Arabidopsis thaliana: one gene and its partner. The protein of the gene in region 2 interacts with the protein of the main gene of each other region in a pairwise test. Each region holds a gene or a part of one and is shown on either strand. Other genes may lie near its edges.

Evidence for each region.
Region 1: the proteins of ATB' GAMMA (region 2) and ACO3 interact in a two-hybrid assay, tested with the Arabidopsis thaliana proteins (one study listed by BioGRID).

What each region holds. Positions count from the first base shown.
Region 1 is NC_003071.7:2,137,843-2,150,143, reverse strand, and holds ACO3 (aconitase 3), read right to left. Parts: upstream 8,816-12,301; 5' UTR 8,554-8,815; coding exon 8,274-8,553; intron 8,181-8,273; coding exon 8,076-8,180; intron 7,999-8,075; coding exon 7,745-7,998; intron 7,661-7,744; coding exon 7,475-7,660; intron 7,298-7,474; coding exon 7,136-7,297; intron 6,971-7,135; coding exon 6,826-6,970; intron 6,733-6,825; coding exon 6,590-6,732; intron 6,518-6,589; coding exon 6,461-6,517; intron 6,374-6,460; coding exon 6,294-6,373; intron 6,209-6,293; coding exon 6,133-6,208; intron 6,002-6,132; coding exon 5,816-6,001; intron 5,734-5,815; coding exon 5,666-5,733; intron 5,574-5,665; coding exon 5,455-5,573; intron 5,343-5,454; coding exon 5,221-5,342; intron 5,110-5,220; coding exon 5,011-5,109; intron 4,932-5,010; coding exon 4,452-4,931; intron 4,365-4,451; coding exon 4,266-4,364; intron 4,184-4,265; coding exon 3,941-4,183; intron 3,863-3,940; coding exon 3,794-3,862; 3' UTR 3,466-3,793; and 1 more. Other genes in the region: AT2G05720 (Transducin/WD40 repeat-like superfamily protein), read right to left, coding at 1,929-2,323, 2,517-2,952. UniProt on the Arabidopsis thaliana protein: Catalyzes the isomerization of citrate to isocitrate via cis-aconitate. Contributes to oxidative stress tolerance. Modulates cytosolic citrate metabolism during lipid mobilization. Required during seedling growth.
Region 2 is NC_003075.7:8,811,833-8,821,655, reverse strand, and holds ATB' GAMMA (Protein phosphatase 2A regulatory B subunit family protein), read right to left. Parts: upstream 4,735-9,823; 5' UTR 4,698-4,734; intron 4,626-4,697; exon of another isoform or gene 4,610-4,625; 5' UTR 4,226-4,609; exon of another isoform or gene 4,093-4,225; 5' UTR 3,950-4,092; coding exon 2,759-3,949; coding exon of another isoform or gene 2,685-2,758; coding exon 2,307-2,684; 3' UTR 1,929-2,306; downstream 1-1,928. Other genes in the region: PUX5 (serine/threonine protein phosphatase 2A 55 kDa regulatory subunit B prime gamma), read right to left, coding at 5,060-5,440, 5,541-5,636, 5,754-6,045, 6,292-6,788; BIA1 (HXXXD-type acyl-transferase family protein), read left to right, coding at 8,228-9,535.

The DNA of each region.
Region 1 (12,301 bases), on a different chromosome or scaffold from region 2:
GACGATCTTCAGTTGGATCACGGATTCTGTCATTGTTCTTTGGTCGATTTTTGGAAATTAATATCCCATTAATATTTAATTACTGTGGGGTTAAGTTTATTAACAGGTTTTAGTTCAGGGTTTGTTTTACTAAAAACATAGTTCAGGGTTTAAAAATGGATCTGGCCAAAGTTGAGGGTTTTTTTTCATTAAATTCCCTTTAAACTAAAGCTAAGATTAACATATTTTCCTTATCATATAAAACATTTTTGAATGATTTCCATATATGATTTGACATTTAATTGTTTTGGGAACTTAACATATATTTGGTTGTTTAAAATAATAAACTCGGTTGTTATTTTTATTTTTATTTTAATTTTAAAATAGAAAAGAACATATAGAGTTAGTATAAGACTTGGTATGTATGTTTTGTATAATATATCTAATATAATCCTTTTAATAAATTTAACTAAATATTTATGTAAATAGGATTAAATGTATATGAAATAAGATATCACATAAACATGTAGTAGAGCAATAAACAAGAGCTATAAGTGTAATATAATAAACAAATATAAATTGCTACAACACAATATAATACAACATTAAAACTGAGCTGCAAAAATAATAATCATATAACATAATTTACGCTATGATATATTTACATAACATAGCATAGCAAAAAAAAGCTATTGTATGTGACCGACCTAAGATAGTTCCAGCAAACACAGCGTTTATGAATTCGCTATATAAACAATATTATAGTGTTTTCCGTGTGCTAAGAGTGCCCATATTTCTTGTAGTGAAACAGATGAGAGAAGGTGAATGCAAAGCTTGAAAAAACAAAAATGCAAATTTATTTCAAGAGTTCTGATCTGATTTGATTCATTAATAACCATATCATCCATGACATTGTGAACAATTGTTTGTTTCAACATGTTCATATCGTCCATGTACTAGTCTACTAGATTCGAACAAATGGATGACTTAAAGAACCACCAGCTTAAAAACACACAAATAAAAGTAAGTTTGGATAACTGTATATGCTTTGTGAAAACCATATATATCGTCGGCCAATTGAAAATCATCAAGACTTGTTGCAGGCTTGGGAAACCATCACAACCAGCAACACCATAATAGATTTAAGGTTCTCTAAACACTTTCAGTTCATCTACTTAGTTTCGGCCATAAATACTTGTCCATTAACACTTGTCCATAAACACTTATCCACTTAGATGGTCAAAGGATATTGCTTAGATCAAGTTCACTAAACATACTTAATAACACTGAATAGTCAACATACTTGCCATCATCCATATATACAATCTTTGATGGACATCTTACTTGTCATGTTCTTCTCTTTTATTTGAATCAGATCAGATCAGAACGCTTGAATTAATACATCTGCATTTTTGTTTTTTCAAGCTTTGCATTCACTTTCTTTCACATGTTTGGATGATCAGTAGTTATAAATATCGGTATAGTATATTTGTGCAAGTACCTTTTAAAATCCATTTAATAGTAAACAAATGTTCGATCGGAAATGGATAAACTGTCATATAATTATTTACTTAAAATATAGTAACAATGGATCTTAAAATGTAGGAAAAATGAATTCTTGATTTATTATATAAGAAAACAGACAAAACACTTTATATTAAGTAACTAAAATAATAATAAGAGAGAGAATGAGAGAGAGAAAAAAAAAAAGAGGACCGTTATTTTTGAAAGATAAAAGTGTATGGTATGTAGTTGGGGGCGTTTCGGTAATAACACAGGAAAAAAATTGTTTTGGAAGATGAAAGTGTGGGAGTGTAAAATGAAAGATGAAAAAGTATGTGAGAGTGTAAAATGTAAATAACTCAAAAACAAACTAGAGTTCTATGTCCATTGTTTCTCTCCCATTATCTTCATCATTCCCACAGCATGTCCAAAGCTTTATGGTGCGGTCATGCGAAACACTTGCGAGACGAGCTATCTACAGCGATATCAAGAGATGCGACTTTTGACTCATGTCCTACTAAGCTTTTAACAAGCGAGAAATCTCTACCTGACCATATATTAACGTTCATGTCGTGTGAGGCAGTAGCCAGGAAATAGCGTTCTTGTGGTTCGTACTTTACTTGAGAAACGAGGTTCACATGAGCTGGTATAATATACAACAACTTTCTCATCCGTAGATCCCAAATACGGCATTGATTATCTTCACCACCAGATGCCAAATGATAACCATTAGGAGAGAAATCCACCGAGAGAACCTGTTTGATATGTCCTTGGAAGATAAGAATATTCCTAGCCGTACGAAGATCCCAAACTCTTGCAAGCGAATCAAAACCCGAAGAAGCTACTAATGATCCATCTTGTTGAAATGCAATTCCGTAGACACTACGACTATGACCTTCTTGTGTTAAAGCATCTCAACTCCTATGTTTATATCCCACAATCTCCATGTTTTATCAAAACTCGTTGTCCGGAGGCATCTCAACACTACGACTATGACGGGTGGAATGCAATGCGTGCAAGACGATCTGAATGACCTTTAAAAGTTTGTAGAAGTGTTCCATCCGTTTTCCATATCTTTTCAGTTCGATCAGTAGAAGCAGTTGCTAGACATTCATCATCCACAGACGAGAACACTACATCAGTTACATGTTCTTTATGACCTTTCAAGACAACAATCTTGTTTGTAACTTGAGGCACCTCCCACAATTTAGGAACCCCACTAAGAGAACATGTGACGAGTATTTTTCCATCTCGTGATAAGGAGCAACCAGTAAGAGGACGATCATCCCCAAATTTACTAGAACCAAGAACCATGTCTTTACAATGCTTTAAAGCCAATTTAGTCTCAGCATTTTTATCTTCATCTGGATCATTCCTTCGCCGATTTTCACGCTGAATCCTTAGAGCAGCTCTCTTTATAAAATCTTTGGTAATTTCTATTCTAGCCTCTCTAAGCTCTGTTGGACCCATTGGTATAAACAAACTTTTGAAACAAGATCTAGAAGAAGCTCGTGACAAGACTAGTTCACTTAGAAGACAAGAAGGTTTGGCTTACCAAAGCTCTTATTTATAGCAAAGTAAACGAGATGGATCAGAAAGAAAGAAAGGAAATCTATTAAAAAAGTGGGTTATTGGGGTTAGCTTTGAATTGTGATTTGTCTCTTAAGTCTAAATTCGATAGGAAGCAGTATTTTTATCCAGATCTTCTTCAAGGTTATCAGATTTGGATATTCCTCTTGAGTTTGGTGGTGGACATAGGAGATTTTGGTATTACTAGGGTTCATATGGAAGAAGATGCTGGCAAGTTACTTCATTCAGACACAGGAGATTACTCTCAGGTTCATATGGAATTTATGACAAGTTTCAGTTTGGTTTTATCAGATTCTTGTATTGGTTTTAGGCTTCAGCTGCAAGATGTTTGTGTTTCTTATGTATTAGTTGGTTACTCTAATGGTGCAAGTAGATTTGAATAGAGCAGGTGTTCTTGAACATGATCTGAGAATTGGTATAGATGCTGCTGAATACGCTTGTGAAATGCAACAGATTGCGAGGTCTTTGGGAGTCAGTAATGGGAATATGCAAGAAGGCTCTCTTATTCCTTTTCAAAAACAATAATATTCAACTCTTGCAAGTTGCGAAACATGGGAGCCTAAGCGTGTAAGAATAACCCACTGAAACTCATATATTGCATGAGATCACTCACCTTTTAACCTAATCCTAGACAGACTTATCTGCCTTTTAAAAAAGACATTTTAAAACAGAAACAAACACTCTTTTATTTTGCTCCATAACTTGTGTATTGCTTCCTTCACTATTGCTTGCTCAAGTTTCTGATAACATATGGAAGTATGCCTCCATGGTTAAAGTATGCCAATTCCACCTGCACATTTATTTTACCATTATTAGTTCCTTCACATTGAAAAGCTTTTTTTCACTAAAGATTGGAGTATTTAGTTACCTCTGTGTCGAAGCGGACTGTGCAAGTGAAAGATTTTCCGTTGTCGGTAGTGACGGTAACATCTTGGCCAGGTCTTATCTCTGAGATATCGGTTGGGAGATGGATCGTGTAGCGTTCGTGACCAGTCAATCCAAGAGTATCTGCGTCTTCACCGGACTTAAAGCACAATGGGATGATTCCCATTCCCACCAAGTTGCTTCGGTGAATCCTCTCAAAACTCTTTGCAATCACCGCTTTAACACCCTGACAATCCCAAACTTGTTGTTTCAGAATAAAACAGTAAGATTGGTTTATGCGGAAAGAAACTAGAGAAGCGGTTCTAAACCTGTAGCATGGGTCCCTTGGCAGCCCAATCACGTGAGCTACCACTTCCATACTCAGCTCCAGCCAGAATAATTGTGTCTTCACCAGATGACTTGTACCTCTGATACATTTGACATTATGATAAGGAGACATTCGACATGATCAACATACAGTCAGTAATACAAATTTTAATTAGATAAATACAAACCATGGCAGCGTCAAAGACTGAGAGCTTCTCTCCAGATGGAATGTGAACAGTCTTAGGGCCAACTTCACCATTCATGAGCTTGTTAACGATACGGATATTAGCAAAAGTACCTCTGGCCATTATTTCATCATTCCCACGGCGACTTCCATATGAGTTGAAGTCCTTACGGTCAACGCCACGCTCCATGAGAAACTTTGCAGCAGGACTGTCCTTTTGGATGTTTCCAGCTGGTGAGATGTGATCAGTGGTGATACTGTCCCCAAAATTGAGTAAACAGTAAGCATCCTTCACATTGTGTGGACCAGGAGGATCCATGGTCATGTCCTTGAAGTATGGAGGCTCGTGAATGTAAGTTGAGTTGGGATCCCATGAGTAGAGGGTATTCTCAGGAACAGACAGCTTATTCCACATGGGGTTACCCTTGGTGATTGACTCGTACGTTGCTCGGAACATGTCAGGCAAAACACTGGATTGAACAACCTGATCCATATGTCAAAAGATTAGTTTAATATTTGTGTATAAAAAAGATGTTATTGTTCTCTGGTTAAGTCGTATATACCTCAGCAATTTCTTCCGTGGTTGGCCAGATATCTCTTAAGAAGACGTCCTTGCCATTCTTTCCTTTGCCAATAGGCTCCGTTTCAAAGTCAATGTTAACCTGGAAAATAAGAAAGAAGAACGCCAAAATTACCAATGTGATAATCAGTCATGTGTCATTATCTCATACAAAATGTAAGTTGAACTTTGACAAGTTCTCAAGATTTATTACCGTGCCAGCAAGAGCATAGGCAACCACCAACGGAGGAGATGCAAGGTAATTGGCTCTTGTTAGTGGATGAACACGCCCCTCAAAGTTCCTGTTACCGGATAGCACAGCAGCCGCCACAATGTCTAAAACCAAGCAACACAAATATTGAAAACAAATCAGCTACTTACTTATATATAATAGTAATATAAAGGATGGAAAGTCCAAAGTAAGTTTAGTTGGGAATCTCAATAATACCATTTTCGGTAATAGCAGCTCCCACTGATTCATTAATTTCCCCAGAATTCCCGATGCATGTAGTGCACCCGTAGCCGACAATATTGAAACCCTGTTCATTCAGATATTCTTGCAATCCACTGCATGGAGTAAGATGTTACACTTAAATTTACCATCACATAAGAAAGAATTAGCCTTTAACAACGAAGAACTAGATAAAAATACGACATACCTCTTTAATAAGTATTTTGTAACAACTCCTGAGCCTGGAGCAAGACTTGTCTTTATCCAAGGCTTAACCTACAGAGGCAAGTTTTTGAAAAAGGGATCAGAAAATGTCGAGGCATCAGATAGATTTCTAGTTTGCTCTCGTGAAACCAACCTGTAGCCCAAGGTCACAAGCCTTCTTTGCAACAAGACCAGCACCAAGCATGACGCTGGGATTTGATGTATTAGTACAGCTTGTGATTGCAGCAATCACCACACTTCCATGTTTAAGCTCTGCTGGTTGTCCATCGAACGAAAAATTTACCACTTTTTCTTGTGCCTCTTTAGGTATAGCAAAACCCTGCGGAGAATGAATAGCAATATTCAGAAATAAACATTGATTTCCAAAATGTGCACCAACAACCCAGTCTATAGAACGAGTAAATGGTTAAGAGATTAGACATCCACAAAGTGAAACATCCAGTTACATACCTTGAACCCAACTTTACTGTCAAGACATGAATGCCAGTCAGCTTTCATTTCCTTCAAAGTAACACGATCATGTGGCCTGCAAAGAAGATATCAATAATATGGTCATGACCAATTATTCAGACAATAAACTTCGCGATTACAAAAACCAACAGAACCCATACCGCTTTGGTCCAGAAATGCAAGGTTCAACATCATCCAGATTCAGTTCTAGATATGACGAGTAAACCCGGTCTTGCTGAGGCTGAAATTTATTCACAAGCAAAGTCAAATAAAAACCTGAAAGGAGATTAAGAAACAAAAAAAGAAAGAAAGTATAAGGCTAATTTACCTCATTGTAGTCAACAAACATATTGTTAGCCCGAAGATATGCTTCAATCATAGCCACCTGCCATGAAAGTATTGTATCAGACCAGATATCTGAATATATATAGAAGGAAGATTAAAGTCAAACACTCACTGTCTCATCGCTTCTTCCAGTCAATTTGAGATATTGTAGAGTAACATGATCCACAGGGAAGAAGCCCATGGTTGCACCATACTCGGGAGACATATTGGCAATTGTCGCCCTGTCAGCTAGGGACAGCCCACTCATGCCATTACCTAAGAAGAAAAAAGTAGACTTATAATGCTCCAACAAACACATGTCTATTATAAAAGAGCAAAACACTTAAGAGCTCACAAGGATATAATTACCATAAAACTCAACAAACTTTCCAACAACGCCATGCTTCCTCAGCATTTGAGTCACTGTTAGAACCAAATCAGTAGCTGTTACACCATTACGCATTTTTCCGGCAAGTTTGAATCCAACAACACCAGGCAATACCATACTCATGGGCTGTCAAACCAAAAAAGCGTTATCAGTATAAGAAAAATTCACAAACCTCACTGTATTGGAGCAGAAGAGTCATAAAATATAGTGATCTAATCTAAAATTCAGTAAAGTTGACTCCAGATTAACCAACATCTGATGTGCGTCATGTAAATAATCAAAATAATTTACCTGGCCAAGCATTGTTGCCTCAGCTTCAATACCCCCAACACCCCATCCAGCAACTCCCAAACCATCAATCATAGTTGTATGTGAATCAGTTCCAACCACGCTGTCTGGGTAGAGAAGGCCTTTGGTATTGAACACAACTCTTCCAAGATATTCCAAATTGACCTGAATTTTCAAGATGAGGTTAGTTTGAGACAAACTTCAAGACAGATAAAAGAAGATAATAAATGAAAAGAAACATTTCAATACACTGGAAACATGAGGTTGAAAAGGATATATATCAATGTCAGAACAAGTTTAGAAACAACTTATGGACTCGCACACTTTAAAAAAGAGAATTACCTGATGCACAATACCAGAGCCAGGAGGCACAACAAGCATGTTCTGGAACGCAGTAGAACCCCATTTAAGGAAAGCAAACCTCTCCTTGTTCCTCTGGAACTCAAGCTCCATGTTTGCTTGCACTGCATTCTCTGATCGAGCTACATCTACTTGAACCGAGTGATCAATCACAAGATCCACCGGAACCTGAGAGACACAGTATAACATAAGAAATCTAAAAGAACCCTAACCTAAACAAAAAGCATCAATCTGTGGCAAACAAAAACATACCAAGGGATTGATTTTGTTGGAATCACTTCCCAGCTTATTCATCGCATCACGCATACAAGCAAGGTCAACAACAGCTGGGACTCCCGTAAAGTCCTGAAGAAGAACACGAGCTGGTTTAAAAGGAATCTCTACTTGTTTAGGAGATGTCTTTTCCCAGTCAATAATCTTCTCAACATCTTCCTTAGTAACTTGAAAGTTATCACAATTACGAATCGCAGATTCAAGCAGAATCCTAATAGAGTAAGGAAGTTTATCTGCAAATACAACACTCCTCTTCAGATTCTCAGGTCCTTCATAAACTCATTCAAAGAGAGATTCAAAAAATCCATACCAACTCGTGGATCGTTAAGAGCAGGTAAGCTATAGAACTTTCCGAATTCACCACCACCAGGCTTAGGAAGTGTAGTGAAGATCCCTTTAAACGGATGCTCTGACGCTGAAACAATCATAATCACAAAACAGTTACTACTAATCAACAGAGATCGGAATAAAAAACTCAAGCTAGATCAATCAGATCGAGATATTTTACCCATGGAAGAGAAGGTTCTCTGGAGACGATCTAAGACTGGAGAAACAGCTCTGATCTGAGAGGTGAAGCGAAACGGAGATGGTTTCGAGTGAAAGGAATGGCTCCAGCGACGGAAAGCAGGGGAAATGGTACCAAAAGATCTACGAGCGAGAAGAGACGACGGAGAAGTAGATGAAACGGAGGGAGATAAAACCGATCGGAAAGAGAAAAGAGAAGAAGAGCGAGAAGAAGCAGCTCGGATGATGGAGGAAGAAGCGGAAGATGAAGCGGTTAAATACATGATGATGAAATCACGCTTCCAGATGCAGATTCAGATACTGACAGAGAAGATGAAGAAGATAAGGTTATTGATTGATCAATTGGGATCGATCATGGAGGATTTTGAATCTGACGTCGGAGTGATGAATGATTGAAGAAGCGAGAGAGAGAGAGAGGCGTGTGGAGACGAAACGAAAATGCCTAGGGCTGCGTGCCAATAAGTCAATCTTCCCTCTCTCGCAAGGGAATATTTTTTTTTGTTTACGGTATTTTTTGGATTTTAATCTACGCAGCCCCTCTCCTCCACATAATTTCTATTTAGCCCCTATTATTAAAATAATATATATTTTTATTTATTTTAATTTAAATAATTACTTAAAAATCAAATAAATCTCATAACATTTTTACCTGTTTGAAAAAGACAACGTAATATATAGTTTCTTAATATATAATCATATATATATGAAAATTGGTCAACACTCTCCATATGAATGACACACCATCACACAAAAGCATCACACAAAAGTTTGACATATATCATTCTATATTTTTAAATTTAAAAAATAATAAAATTAAAGGTAATATTAGTAGATAACCAAATAAAACATACAAATTAAGAAACTAGCAGAGATAAAGTTTTTTGTTACAAAATAACCATGGACCCACGTTGTCGGAAGAAAGGAAATAATAAAGCTATCCTTTATTTGTTGTAAGATGAAAAGTAAACGAAACACATCCGTGTAATTTTTCAAAATATCATGTAACATTAAAATTTCACATGTTATATTTAGTTTAAAAACATGCTATTTCATAATACGTTATGAATTTTTTTTTTTAAAACATTATTATGAAATTCTTTTACATGAACAGAATCTTAAAACAAAAATTATATGTGATTTTAATAAAAACCATGTATTACTAAAAAATAAGAATATTTTTAAAGAAATCACGTGTGATCTCAATAAAAAACGTGTATTACTACAAAATATCATGATAAAAAGATATATTAAACTGAATACAATGTTTTTTCCAAAAAATAGCATGTGCTTTTTATAAATACTATGTAATAAGAGAAAATAACAAGTGTTCTCCAACATGTTTCCGACAAGATACTGTGACTCAAGGTTAGTTTGTACATTCTTTTCAAATCTATAGTCATTTATTATAAATACTCTAAAATTAAATGTATGATTAATCCTATTCTTAATTGATTCAAAATAAAATAAAAAAAAATTATGTTAATAAATTAAGCACTACTTTCATTATACTCTTTATTTTATTAAATTTTTATTATCAATAATCACTACTAGATAATGACTTTTTTTTGTGTTGTAGTTGTTTGCTACCAAACCTCTTATTAGTTTAGTATATATTATTCTCATGAACATATTTTCGTCATTAGTTTTCTAACGTTGTCCTTCGCGATTCATCATTAGTTAGACCGATACAGATTTCTTATGTTAATCTTATTTAGAGATCTAAAATCTACATATACATTTTTCAGCTACTTTAACAAATAAATCTTGTACTTGAACTTATTTACAATGTCATGCTATTGACATTAATTATTAATAAATGAAATATTTAATTAAAGATGTAAATCAAAATTAGTTTGGTAAAAATTGCTAAAACACTGGACACATCTTTACTAATATTACGGCAATGATCATTTAGAAATCTAATCATATATATGAAAGTTGGCCAACTCTTTCCATATGAATGACACATCATCACACAAAAAAATGACATGTGTCATTCTATATTTTTTAAATTAAAATATTAATCATATTAAATAAGCAAATTAAATGTATCATCAATCCTACTCTTAATTGATTTTTTCAAGATAAAAATAAAATAAAAAATTATGTTAATAAATTAAGCACTACTTTTATTATACTCTTTTTATTTTACTAATTTTTTTGTGTTGTACTTGTTCGTTACCTAACCTCTTATTAGTTTAGTAATTTTATTTTGAGTCTTTGATAACATTGACACTCAAGTTTTTTCAAATAATAAACCTTTAAAACGTTAGACTTACCAAATAATTTAATACACGATCATTTCTCTTATATTGATATATGCAATGAGAGAAGATCTAAAAGTATTGACTTAAATACTGCTTTAATTTATGCTTTTTTTTTTAATTCTTTTCATATGAATACTTTTGAAATCTTGTTCAGTTTATATCAATTCTATATATTTAATCATGAGTCGATAACACTAATTAACTAGATTTTAACCCGCGGTATACCGCGGAGACAATTTATTTCCTTAAAGTTAGTATATATAAAAGTTTACAAATTTTATCTATCTATAAAATATTTTTATTTTATAGTTTACAATTGTTATTAAGTAGCTTCCTGCCAAACCCGTCCCGCCAACCCGTCTCGTAAAAAAAACTATTTATTTTATTAATGTTGATCTTATTTATGATATGTTTATGAATCATTGTCTAAATATTTTATAATTTTGTAGTAATTAATTGCTATCAAATATCTTTACGGTTTGCTGCTTATAATCGAATTGTTATAGTCATAAAAAAAAAGCAATATCAAAAATGATAATTTTGTAGTATTTAAATGATATTAAATATTTTGGAAATTTTATTTTAGTAATTAATCGTATAGTTAATGCAGAGAGATTTTGGAAAGGTAGTTAAATGCAAATATTTAATTCGAAGATTTACTTTCTAATTATCAAAAACAATTATTAAATGCCGGTGGCAGCCACTGTAAATAAGTCTCAACTTGAAGATTTATTTCACAAAGTGGCTGCAAAAATGTATATGTAGATTTCAAATAAACCATCACATTATCAAATAATCGTGCAAGGTTTGATATTATGGTCATATTTTGTATTATTTATTTGGTTTATTTTGTATTATTCTCACATAAAGAAAAAAAAGTTAAAGTGGTCATCGTGTTATAAAAAAAAAAAAAAAGTTAAAGTGGTCATGTTTCATTTTCTTGAATATTATCTACTGGATTTTGTGATATCGAGTAAAAAGTTACCATTTTACTGTAATTTCGATTTTAATGTTTCTATGTTGGCAATGTCAATTAGTTTTGAAAAAATATTCAATATGTTAACCCAAAAATCTTAATGATATCAATTTAGAGTTATATGATGGGACGGGTTTGGATTGATATTATTACAAATTTATAGTATCATCAACCCAAAGTAATAACACGGTTTAAATGTAATTTTAATATTTTATCAGCCTCAGTTTCTTTTTTTCCAGCACTAATAAAAAATTATTAACTTTAATACTAAATAAAAAATTATGAAATCTAATATTATTATATTTACTAATAAAAAAAAATTGCACATCATATAGTTTTGTACATTGAGAAAAATACAAAACAATAGGTTATATAATAATATTAATTAATTAAGAAAATTACAGTTTGATTTTTTCTAGAAAAATATAGTACCGCGGGTTAAAATCTAGTGCTAATTAAGACTACATACAAAGATAAGAGTTATAGAACTACAAATAAAGTGGCATCTAAGTAGAAAACAAAGTAGAATAAATAAAAATTACAAAAGACATAAATTCTTAAACAAAAATATTGAAATGGGCATCAAACACGGAGAGCCTGAACAAACTCCTGATAGATGTCGACAACAAATCTCATCCTAAGATTCTCCACGACTTCCTCAGTTATGCTCTCGTGGCTAACGTATTGGAAATGAAGGTCTAATTAATTATAAGACCACTCTCTCAAATAAGAGATCGATTGTAGTACATTAGGGTCGAATTCCACAAA
Region 2 (9,823 bases):
TATACACGTCTTAATATATTTGGTATGACTTCTTCAATATTGTTATAGTTGTCAATTGTCATCCTTCTATTATTTTAGTTATTAAATATAGTAGATTCTCATTAATTTTTAGAAGATTTTATAATTGTTTAGAATTGGTCGTTATCACAGCAGATTTTGACTAGTTAATTACATATATATCATATACTTCCTCTGTTTGACACTTCAATACCATTTTAGGTTTTTTGTTTTTATATCATTAATAATATTACATTGTATTTTAAAAGTCAAATTTTATTTTTAAAATCTAGTTTATATTTGCAATGAAGGTTTTATCAATTAGTGATAATAAATTGCTGTTTTATATCTTAAATAACGAAGGGTATAATATAACTAGAAATTAAAACGGAAACTCCCACGTGTTTGGATTTTGGTTTAGATACTTTAATCGAAGCGGACTTGCATAAACTCTTGCTAAAAAACACTTATTTACTAAATCCGAGTATCGATGCGACGATACGGCGATGCTATTAAAAAATAGAAATTAAAAATAGAAAAAAGCAAAATAAAAAGCAATATAACAATTTTGGATATTAGTGTTTTTTTAATACAAAAATAACAATTATTCCAATTTAATACTAAAATAGATAAAAATATTTTGAAATGCAAATTAGGTTAATTTACAAATCCTTTTAGGAATAAATAATTTATAAAGAAATGAATTTGGGATGGAAACGGAAAAAAAGAGAAACAAAATAAAAGTTGACTTTGACTTTGTAAGATTGGGTTGCTGAGTAGTCAGTCCGTGGGACCGGGACAATGAAATTGAATACCACTCATTGACTAAGAACAAATTAGAATAATGGATTGGATTCATTACCATACACAATATTTGCAAAAATAATGTGGTAATATTTTTCCGTAAATAAATTAGATTTCACGATTTTTTTTAAAAATACATCGGTAATTCAATTTATTTTTACACTATCTATATATACATTTTTGCAACCATTTTAGCAAATAAATCCTGGACTTGAACTTATTTACAATCTAATGCCATTAGCATTAAATCTTTTTTCCAAAATAATTAATTTTATTTTAAATTTTTGATTTAAATAGTCAATCACATTATCAATCAAATTTAATCCCAACAAAATTCAAATCAATCCCTTAAAATTAGCATAGACATTTGTTAACAATATTTTAAAACAAAGTTTTTTGTTAAATAAATATTATTCTTACTAACCGTTTTTTGTTTAAATAAATAAATTTTGTATTTAAACTTATTTACAATGTCATGTCACTGACATTAATTATTTATTAATGAAAATATTTAATTAAAGATTTAAATCTTCTAAATCCTTGCTTTTAGAGTTATTATGTCATTACCTTATAAGCAAAAATATTAATTTTTTAAATATTATTATTTATATATTTAAAATTTATAAAACATTATTAATATTTAAACTTATAAAAAGTTTGATATATCACAATTTTTTAACATCATTATATAATATATAGAGTTTAAAAAAATCTTAATTTTTTCTGTCACATTTTATGATTCAAAATTTTAAAAATGAACATATATTAACCAATTGGCAAACAATGTGTGGGTTCAATGTCCTGCATCGACAAAAATATTTAGAGAATGATTTATAAACATATCATAAATAAGATCAATATTAATATAAATAAATGATTTTTTTACAGGACAGGTTTGGCGGGACGGGTTTGGCAGGACGTTACTTAATAACAATTGTAAACTATAAAATAAAAATATATTATAGATAGATACAATTTGCAAAAAAAAAATTATACTAACTTTAAATTAAAATCTAGTGTTATATATGATTTTTGTATTTTCTAAAACTCACACGAAAAAAAACATGACTTGTTTACGAAAATGCCGTTGCATATATACCGAACCAAACCGAGATTCGATAACTTCGGTTATGATTTGGTTAGTAGGGGAGCTAAATTAATGAACTTCAAAGCATAAAATACAATTCATTCCACAATACAAATACGAATAATTGTTTAGTCGTCCTCTCAAGAACTATATCTATAAGCCATATTTCTTACACCTCAGATTGTTATTCAACTAAGAGCTGAGTAAGAAAAAAAAAGGATCAGAAGCAACAAACAATTGAACCCATGATTCCATAAACCTGAAAAAAATGTTATAATTAAGTATTCACTGATGATATTGCCCTTCTTAATCATCGTGCTTAATCTTCTTCAAGGACTGATCCTGATGCTCGAACGGATCGATACAATTCTGCTGGATTGTTTGAAAGTATGTCTCGGTGATAGAGAGCAGAAAGTGTTCAACTACCCGAAGTTTTACCGGTTGCAAGAGTAACTGAAGATGAAAATCGGGGGACGAGCACTGCCTCGTTGCTTACGGATTTCGAAGCTGCTAACTCTTCCAAAAGCTTCCATGTTGCTTCTCGTTTGGCTACAACCTCGGTTTCATTCGCTTCATCTTCTTGGAACTTGGCTAAGCATTCATCAAACAGAATTTGGTCTGTCTCTGCCATTACCTTTCTCACATTCAAAGTCAGACTCTGAACTGCTTGGTTCCAATGCCCCCGTGTGTTTCTCTCCATAGCCGGGAACACAATGGGCATTATCACTTTATGGTTTTGAGTAATCAGGTTTCTTATGTGATCGTTGTTCCATAGAAATAGAGCCCTTTCAGCCACCTGACAAAAGAAGCAACTTTGAATATAACCTGCAAAATTGCGAGACTATATGAACAACTTATCGAGAGTCGCACCTGAAAATGTGAACTGTTGAGGCATCTAGCGATTTGACGAAATAAAGGAACCATACATCGCTGAAACTCAGCTGCTTGAGTTGCTTCCAAAACTTCTTCCAACTCTCCAAGAAACATAACTTCCTTTGAACTATTAGTCACAGGCCAATACTTTAGAAGTCCTCTAATGACCGTATCAGCAAGCTTGAAGTCTTTCTCTACAAACTGAACAATGCAATAAGAAAGCTGTTGATGATAAGCAGATGCACATTTAGGTCTGTGGAGTGGAATCAATGCCCGGATTAGGAAGAGCTTATGCTCTTCTTTTAACGGTAAAGCGAAACCGTTGATTATACTTCCTAGTATCTCAAGCAACTCTGCAATACCGTTATGCTTTTCGGTTTCAAAAATGAATCTGTAGAAGATATTGTTGATCGCCTTTCTGATAAAGGGTCGGTGCACCATGAATTTCCCGTATATCCGATGAAGAATGGTCTTTAGATATTCCCTCTCTCTCTGGTCTTCAGAGTCAAACAAATCCAAGAGCTTCAAGACAAATGAATGGTCAATATATCTCTTTGCAAGCTTTGCATCAGTCATAGGCGAGGCCACAAATCTAAGAAGAAGCTCATAGACAACTTGAAGATGAGGCCAAGCCGGCTCTAAAGCAGGTTCCTCATCATCCACATCAAGCGTTTCGAGAATCTTACTCTCGTGATTCGCAGAAGGAAACGTCCTGAAAAGATTAACAACAGCCACTTTCGCAATCTCTTGCATTGCAGCATCACTCAACTTTGTAGAAACCGTTGCAATATAATCAACAAGCTCAAGCAAAGTCTGTCTCTTTATCTCTTTCTCTCTCAGATTCTTCGACGGATCATTGAAGTCGAACACAACGCAACACATACTCAACTTCTTGATAAACAGATTAGGTTTCTCCGAGGTAGGAACATCTCTAAAGCTTGGCAATGCTTCATAAACTCCATTGACTTGATTGGTTCTGTTAGAGCTCGTTGAAGAAGGAGCAATAACAGTTCCATTTGCTCCATTCGAATTCGATGCGGATGATTTCGAAGAAGGCTTCGAGATACTACTAATACCCGAATTGGGAATGTAATATGAATTAACCCCACCTTCTCCGTTTGGATTCGAGTCATTATGCGAAGATTTTGAAGGTTTTCTGGGCAATTTCCCAAATATCTGTTTGATCATAATTACAGAAACCCTAAATTATCTCCCCACAAAAGGGCCAAAACCCTTCCCTTTTTTTCTCTACTTCGCAACAAGCCTAAACTAAACCAGTAAAACCCAAAAGCTTTGGTTCTAAATCAAAACCCTAATCATTGAACACAGCCCTGCATGTAGACAAAGCCTAAATTCATAATCGGAAACACAATCTCATAAACAGAATCAAAGATTAGCTTAAGAAGATCCAGAGAAAACAACAAAATGTAAACTTTGGAGAGAGGAGGAAGAAGAGGAGCTTACAAATGGCAGATGAGTAGAGAGAGAGATCTGGGCACTGGAGATGAATGAAATCAAGAGAAACCCTAAGAAAATGGCGAGCTTCAAGTAAAAAAGGAAGGATCTTTGTGATAAACCCTGTAAAAACAGCTACTTTTTCTCGCCCTAAACTGAATCGAGAGCAGAGGAAAGAGAAAAAAAGGGGAAAAGGCAACGAAGCCCAGCAAAGAGAAAAAAAAAATCTGGGAAGTTACAGAACACACAACACGAAGATTAAGGTTGTAATGAAAACTAAAATAGGAAAATAAATTAATAATTGTCCTTCGCTATCTCTTCCTCTGTAGATTTTCACTGTAAATCTCAATATCTCTGGCTTTCTTTGGATTCCGAATAACAGACATTATAGAACTGTTTACAAAAAAATAAAATTAATTTTCCAAAAAAAAGGTTTTGAAGAGAACAAGGAAAATGACAGATGGGCAGGTACGTTAATTACCATTATGTCCCTGATATTAGGAGAGCGTATGTGTGTGGAATTTATGCAGAAGCTGGTCAATTCGTCAATTCACGAGTCCAAGGATATAAGTAATTTGCTCATTGGATAATATTTTTTCGATTATTCTTTCTAAAAGATATGGTAGTAGCTAGTCGATTGAAGAAATAAATAAATTATGCAAAAGCTAAACTGCTAAAGTTATTAATAAATCTGAAGAAAAGAGTTTGATAAATCTACGAAAATCCAAAGCCTCTAGAGCGTTGACCAGATAGTTAGAGACTAAAGTCAACGATCAGGTTCAAAAACACAAAAGCAAAAAAAAAAAAAGAGAGACATAAATCGAAGGGATGAGTTATGTAAGTCTAGAATTTCTGGATGACGACGGCATTAGCTATACCAGCTTGCTCGATGGTTTGGTCCAATTCTGTCAATTGTTTAGGAGGGAACCCCATGGTTAGCAACTGGTACTCTTTGGAGCCACCGGGTCTAGAAGCGTCGATAAACCCACGTACATCTCTGACAGTGTGGTGGTTGTTGAACCTGGAGACAAGGCGTGTTCCGTCTGCTAATCTGAGCTGGATAGAGGTTGTCGGTGCTGCTGGATCTACAACTAGCCCTCTTGATGGTGCTGGTGCTACGTTCATTGGGGCAGATGAAGCTTGTGGTGCTGAACTTGAACCAGATCCGCTGGCTCCTAGGGTTCTTCCTACACCTTGGAATGGATTTTTAGGCTTTGGTGGTTCCTGTGAGTCAAAAGATACAGACGTTAAAAGAATCCTATGAGTGGCTTCTCCAGAGAATAGGTTAACGAGATTATTATTGATAGATGGGAATGAGACTTACGGTGAAATTTTCTCCACGCCTGACCAGATCGACATGAACAGGGATCTTCTTATCTGCTGGTTCGAGTTCGCTGGGGCACTCTGACCTTGAGATGCTCTGCAAAAGACAACATATATATTAGGGATTCAAAGACTATCCAAGTGAGTAAAGACAAGTATCAAGCTTGATTTCCATGGAATTGTAGTTACTAATTAGAGAAAATCTGGACATTACATTCATAAAGGCTGCGTTTTCAGGGTCACTGAACCCTCTTAACGGACCATCATTAACAGTGAAACCATTCAACCAGAAAGTGATGGTGTGCATAATCCTTTGAGGCTGCTCTTGCTGTTGTTGCTGAGGAGAAGACGAAACAGCTTCACCAGACAACAAACGCGCAGCTCCAGTGAAGCTTGTAGAAGCTGATCTTGATGGTTCAACAGGTCTGTCTACAGCTGACTGCCTAGCTTGGTCAAAAAGTTCATCAACATCTTTCACTTTCTTAGGATCTTGTACCATCATCCCACTACAACACATTACACAATCCAAAAACAAAACTCTATTAGCGACACAAACATACACTTTCTCCAGCTATATAAGAATTTCAAGAAAGACAATTCAGCTACATACACAAGATATGGTCAATCCCTAAACTATCATTGATCTACGCACATTGCTCAAGTTCATGATCATGTTGCCCTAATTCACTTTCTCAACAGTATTATCATCTAAGTATTTTCCAAACTATGATCAGATCTGTTGAAAATTGTACCTCTTTTGTCCACCGGTATAATACTCATTAGCTTCATCCGAATCACTGCCCTCGCCATCAGCCGGAGAACGGTTCAGATCGGCGAATGTACGGATATTCCCAGCGTGTTGACGACTCCTAGAACTCCGAATTCCCGACGGATTCTCAGTTTCTTTATTCTCTCCAGCACCGCCTCTCGATCGGAGACCGTAGGGAGCAGCGCGAGAAGACGGAGAAGCAGATCGTGATCGGGAAGGAGAGGGAGAGGTTTCAGACGGAGTGTAATCGGGAGAGTGAGATTGAGAAGGAGATTGTGCACCGGCAATAGTAGAAGAAGGTGGTGGTGGCCCGGTAGGGTTTGGTTCGGCGGCTGCGGCGGCATCGTTATCGAGGAAAGTTGAAACGGCAGCGTCTAGATTCCAAGTGTGACTTTCGAGGAAGAAATTAGCTTCTTCTCTTGATGAAGAAGTGATCTCGATGAAGGAGTTTATCAGATTCTCGTTCGTCTCCGTCGCCATCGTCTTCTCGAAGCTTCTTCTGTTGCTAGATTGTTTTTTTTTTCTTTCGTAGCTTTCTGATTTTTTTCTTTCTACTATTTTAATTTTACTATATATATGTAAATATTTTCCTTTTTTCACCGTCAAACTTCTCTCAAGTCTTAACAACATACGTTTCGAATAAACGGTGATGTTAATGGGCCCAAAGGCTTGGCCTTTTAGCCTTACAAAAGGCCTTTTAGTATATAACAGCTAAATTTTCAAGGAAGCAAACTGAGAAGAAACCACATTTTGTTGTTGCCTTTGTATAAATGACTCGTCGTGTTCATTGATCATTAGGTTCGGATTTATCGAGGAACGTCAAAGAGTGGTCGGGGAAAAGAGTCTACTAACCATTGCTCTATCCACATGTTCCGATTCTGTGATAGAGACTTGTAAAAAAGTGTATGTAGAAAGAGAGCATTTTTGAAGTTAGAAATCGAAAACTAGGAACTGGATTTACTGTACCCTTCTGGATAATGATGGTTTGAGATGTGTTGATTTTTTTTTTTGGCGTGTTTCTGAACAATGTGTTTACTAAGTTGGATATTGAAAAGAAAAAAACAGCTAGATATTGAAAATTTAGGAACTAGACTTACTCTATGTTTGTTGAGGACTATGGTTGTTGGAGATATACCAAAATTTGATAATATCAATATTCAATTTCAGCAATAGTTTCTTTGTGTGATGGCATTTAGTTGATCCAATTAGCAATTACTGATGGAAAGTTTTTGGCTTACTAAAATTCAACCATTAGTCTAACCTCACTTACTAAAATGCAACCACTATTATTTTAGTGAGGTTCCATACCCCCTTTTTGAACAAATCATTTTGACCATTTTAGTAATTTTTGGACTAGGGCTCAGTCTCATATTCGATGTGAGACTTTTAACAAACAATCCTCTTAGAAGTTTTACCAGTTGGTATATGCCACTATCATTTGCTCTTTTTTCTTTCTCATAACGTTTATATTTTCTTTCTGATTTTTTATTTTATTTCTATATATATAACTATATATTTCAAAATTATTTCCCCTTTTATAATTCATAAACGCTCTCTAAAATTTTAAATACAATTAAATCAATCTTCAATATATGTTTTTTTTTGTTTGTTTAGAAGTCGAATTATATTACTATCACCAATTAAATATTACATAGTCGTCTATTTTAAGCATTTGAAGTTTTATTTAATTTACTAATATGAATGAATTAAATAAACATTGTTAGCAGACTTTATTTTTTCTTAAATTAAATTTTGTTCCTAGTGTGGACACATGGATAGGAGTTGAAACTTGTATCAACGATTCAACTACCAGTTTAAAAGGACACATCTCTGATCCATTTGTCTCTTCCATCTTCTCCTCTTGTCAAAGTTTCCTCAATACTTCAATCTTGTAACCCGTTGACTTTTAAAGGAAGACGATGGAAGCGAAGCTAGAGGTGACCGGGAAAGAAGTGATCAAACCTGCTTCACCATCACCTCGTGATCGCCTTCAGCTCTCTATCCTTGATCTCTATTGTCCTGGAATCTACGTGTCGACGATCTTCTTCTACGATCTCATCACCGAGTCCTCGGAGGTTTTCTCGGAAAATCTGAAACTCTCTCTGTCCGAGACTCTCTCACGCTTCTATCCACTAGCTGGACGAATAGAAGGCCTTTCCATCAGCTGTAACGACGAAGGAGCCGTCTTCACCGAGGCACGCACCGATCTCCTTCTTCCTGATTTCCTTAGAAACCTCAACACTGACTCCCTGTCGGGATTCCTCCCGACACTAGCTGCTGGAGAATCTCCAGCGGCCTGGCCGTTGTTGAGTGTCAAGGTCACTTTCTTCGGGTCTGGATCAGGAGTGGCGGTTTCTGTCTCTGTCTCTCACAAAATCTGTGATATAGCCTCATTGGTTACCTTTGTAAAAGACTGGGCTACCACCACGGCCAAAGGGAAGTCAAACAGTACTATCGAGTTCGCTGAAACGACTATTTATCCTCCTCCTCCTTCTCATATGTATGAACAGTTCCCATCAACGGATTCCGATTCTAACATCACAAGTAAATACGTACTCAAAAGATTCGTCTTCGAACCTTCTAAGATTGCTGAGCTGAAACACAAGGCCGCTAGCGAAAGCGTCCCTGTGCCTACACGTGTTGAAGCTATCATGTCACTTATCTGGAGATGTGCTAGAAACTCCTCACGCTCTAACTTGTTAATTCCAAGGCAAGCCGTCATGTGGCAGGCCATGGACATTCGACTTAGGATTCCATCTAGTGTTGCGCCAAAAGACGTGATTGGTAACCTACAAAGCGGATTTTCTCTCAAGAAAGACGCGGAGAGCGAGTTTGAGATCCCTGAAATCGTGGCCACATTCAGGAAGAACAAAGAGAGAGTCAACGAGATGATCAAAGAGAGTCTTCAAGGCAATACAATTGGTCAGAGTTTGTTGAGTTTGATGGCGGAAACTGTGTCAGAGTCAACGGAGATAGACCGATACATAATGTCTAGCTGGTGCAGAAAGCCTTTCTACGAGGTTGACTTCGGATCGGGTAGTCCGGTCTGGGTGGGATACGCGTCACATACCATTTACGACAACATGGTGGGTGTCGTGTTGATTGATTCAAAAGAAGGTGATGGTGTAGAAGCATGGATAAGCTTACCTGAGGAAGACATGTCCGTGTTTGTCGATGACCAAGAGTTGCTTGCTTATGCCGTCCTAAATCCCCCGGTCGTGGCATAAACAAGACTACTACCAATTGCTCTACGCTGGATTTAATTAATTATTGGCTTTCGCTTTTCGTTGTGATTTGAATAAAGTGACCAATCATTTCAAGTTCCATGTTAATTCAGTTTATATGTTACCTTGATCTTGTTTGTACTCTATATGGTTATTTGTTTTGTCAATTTGTTTTTCCAGTTACTAATAACTACTTCATGATAATTTAAGTGTTTAGTGTAGATTTCCTTCAATGTTTTTTCTTAGTTTTTAACCAATAGGCACGGTTCATGGGTCTGGTTGTTTTAAGGC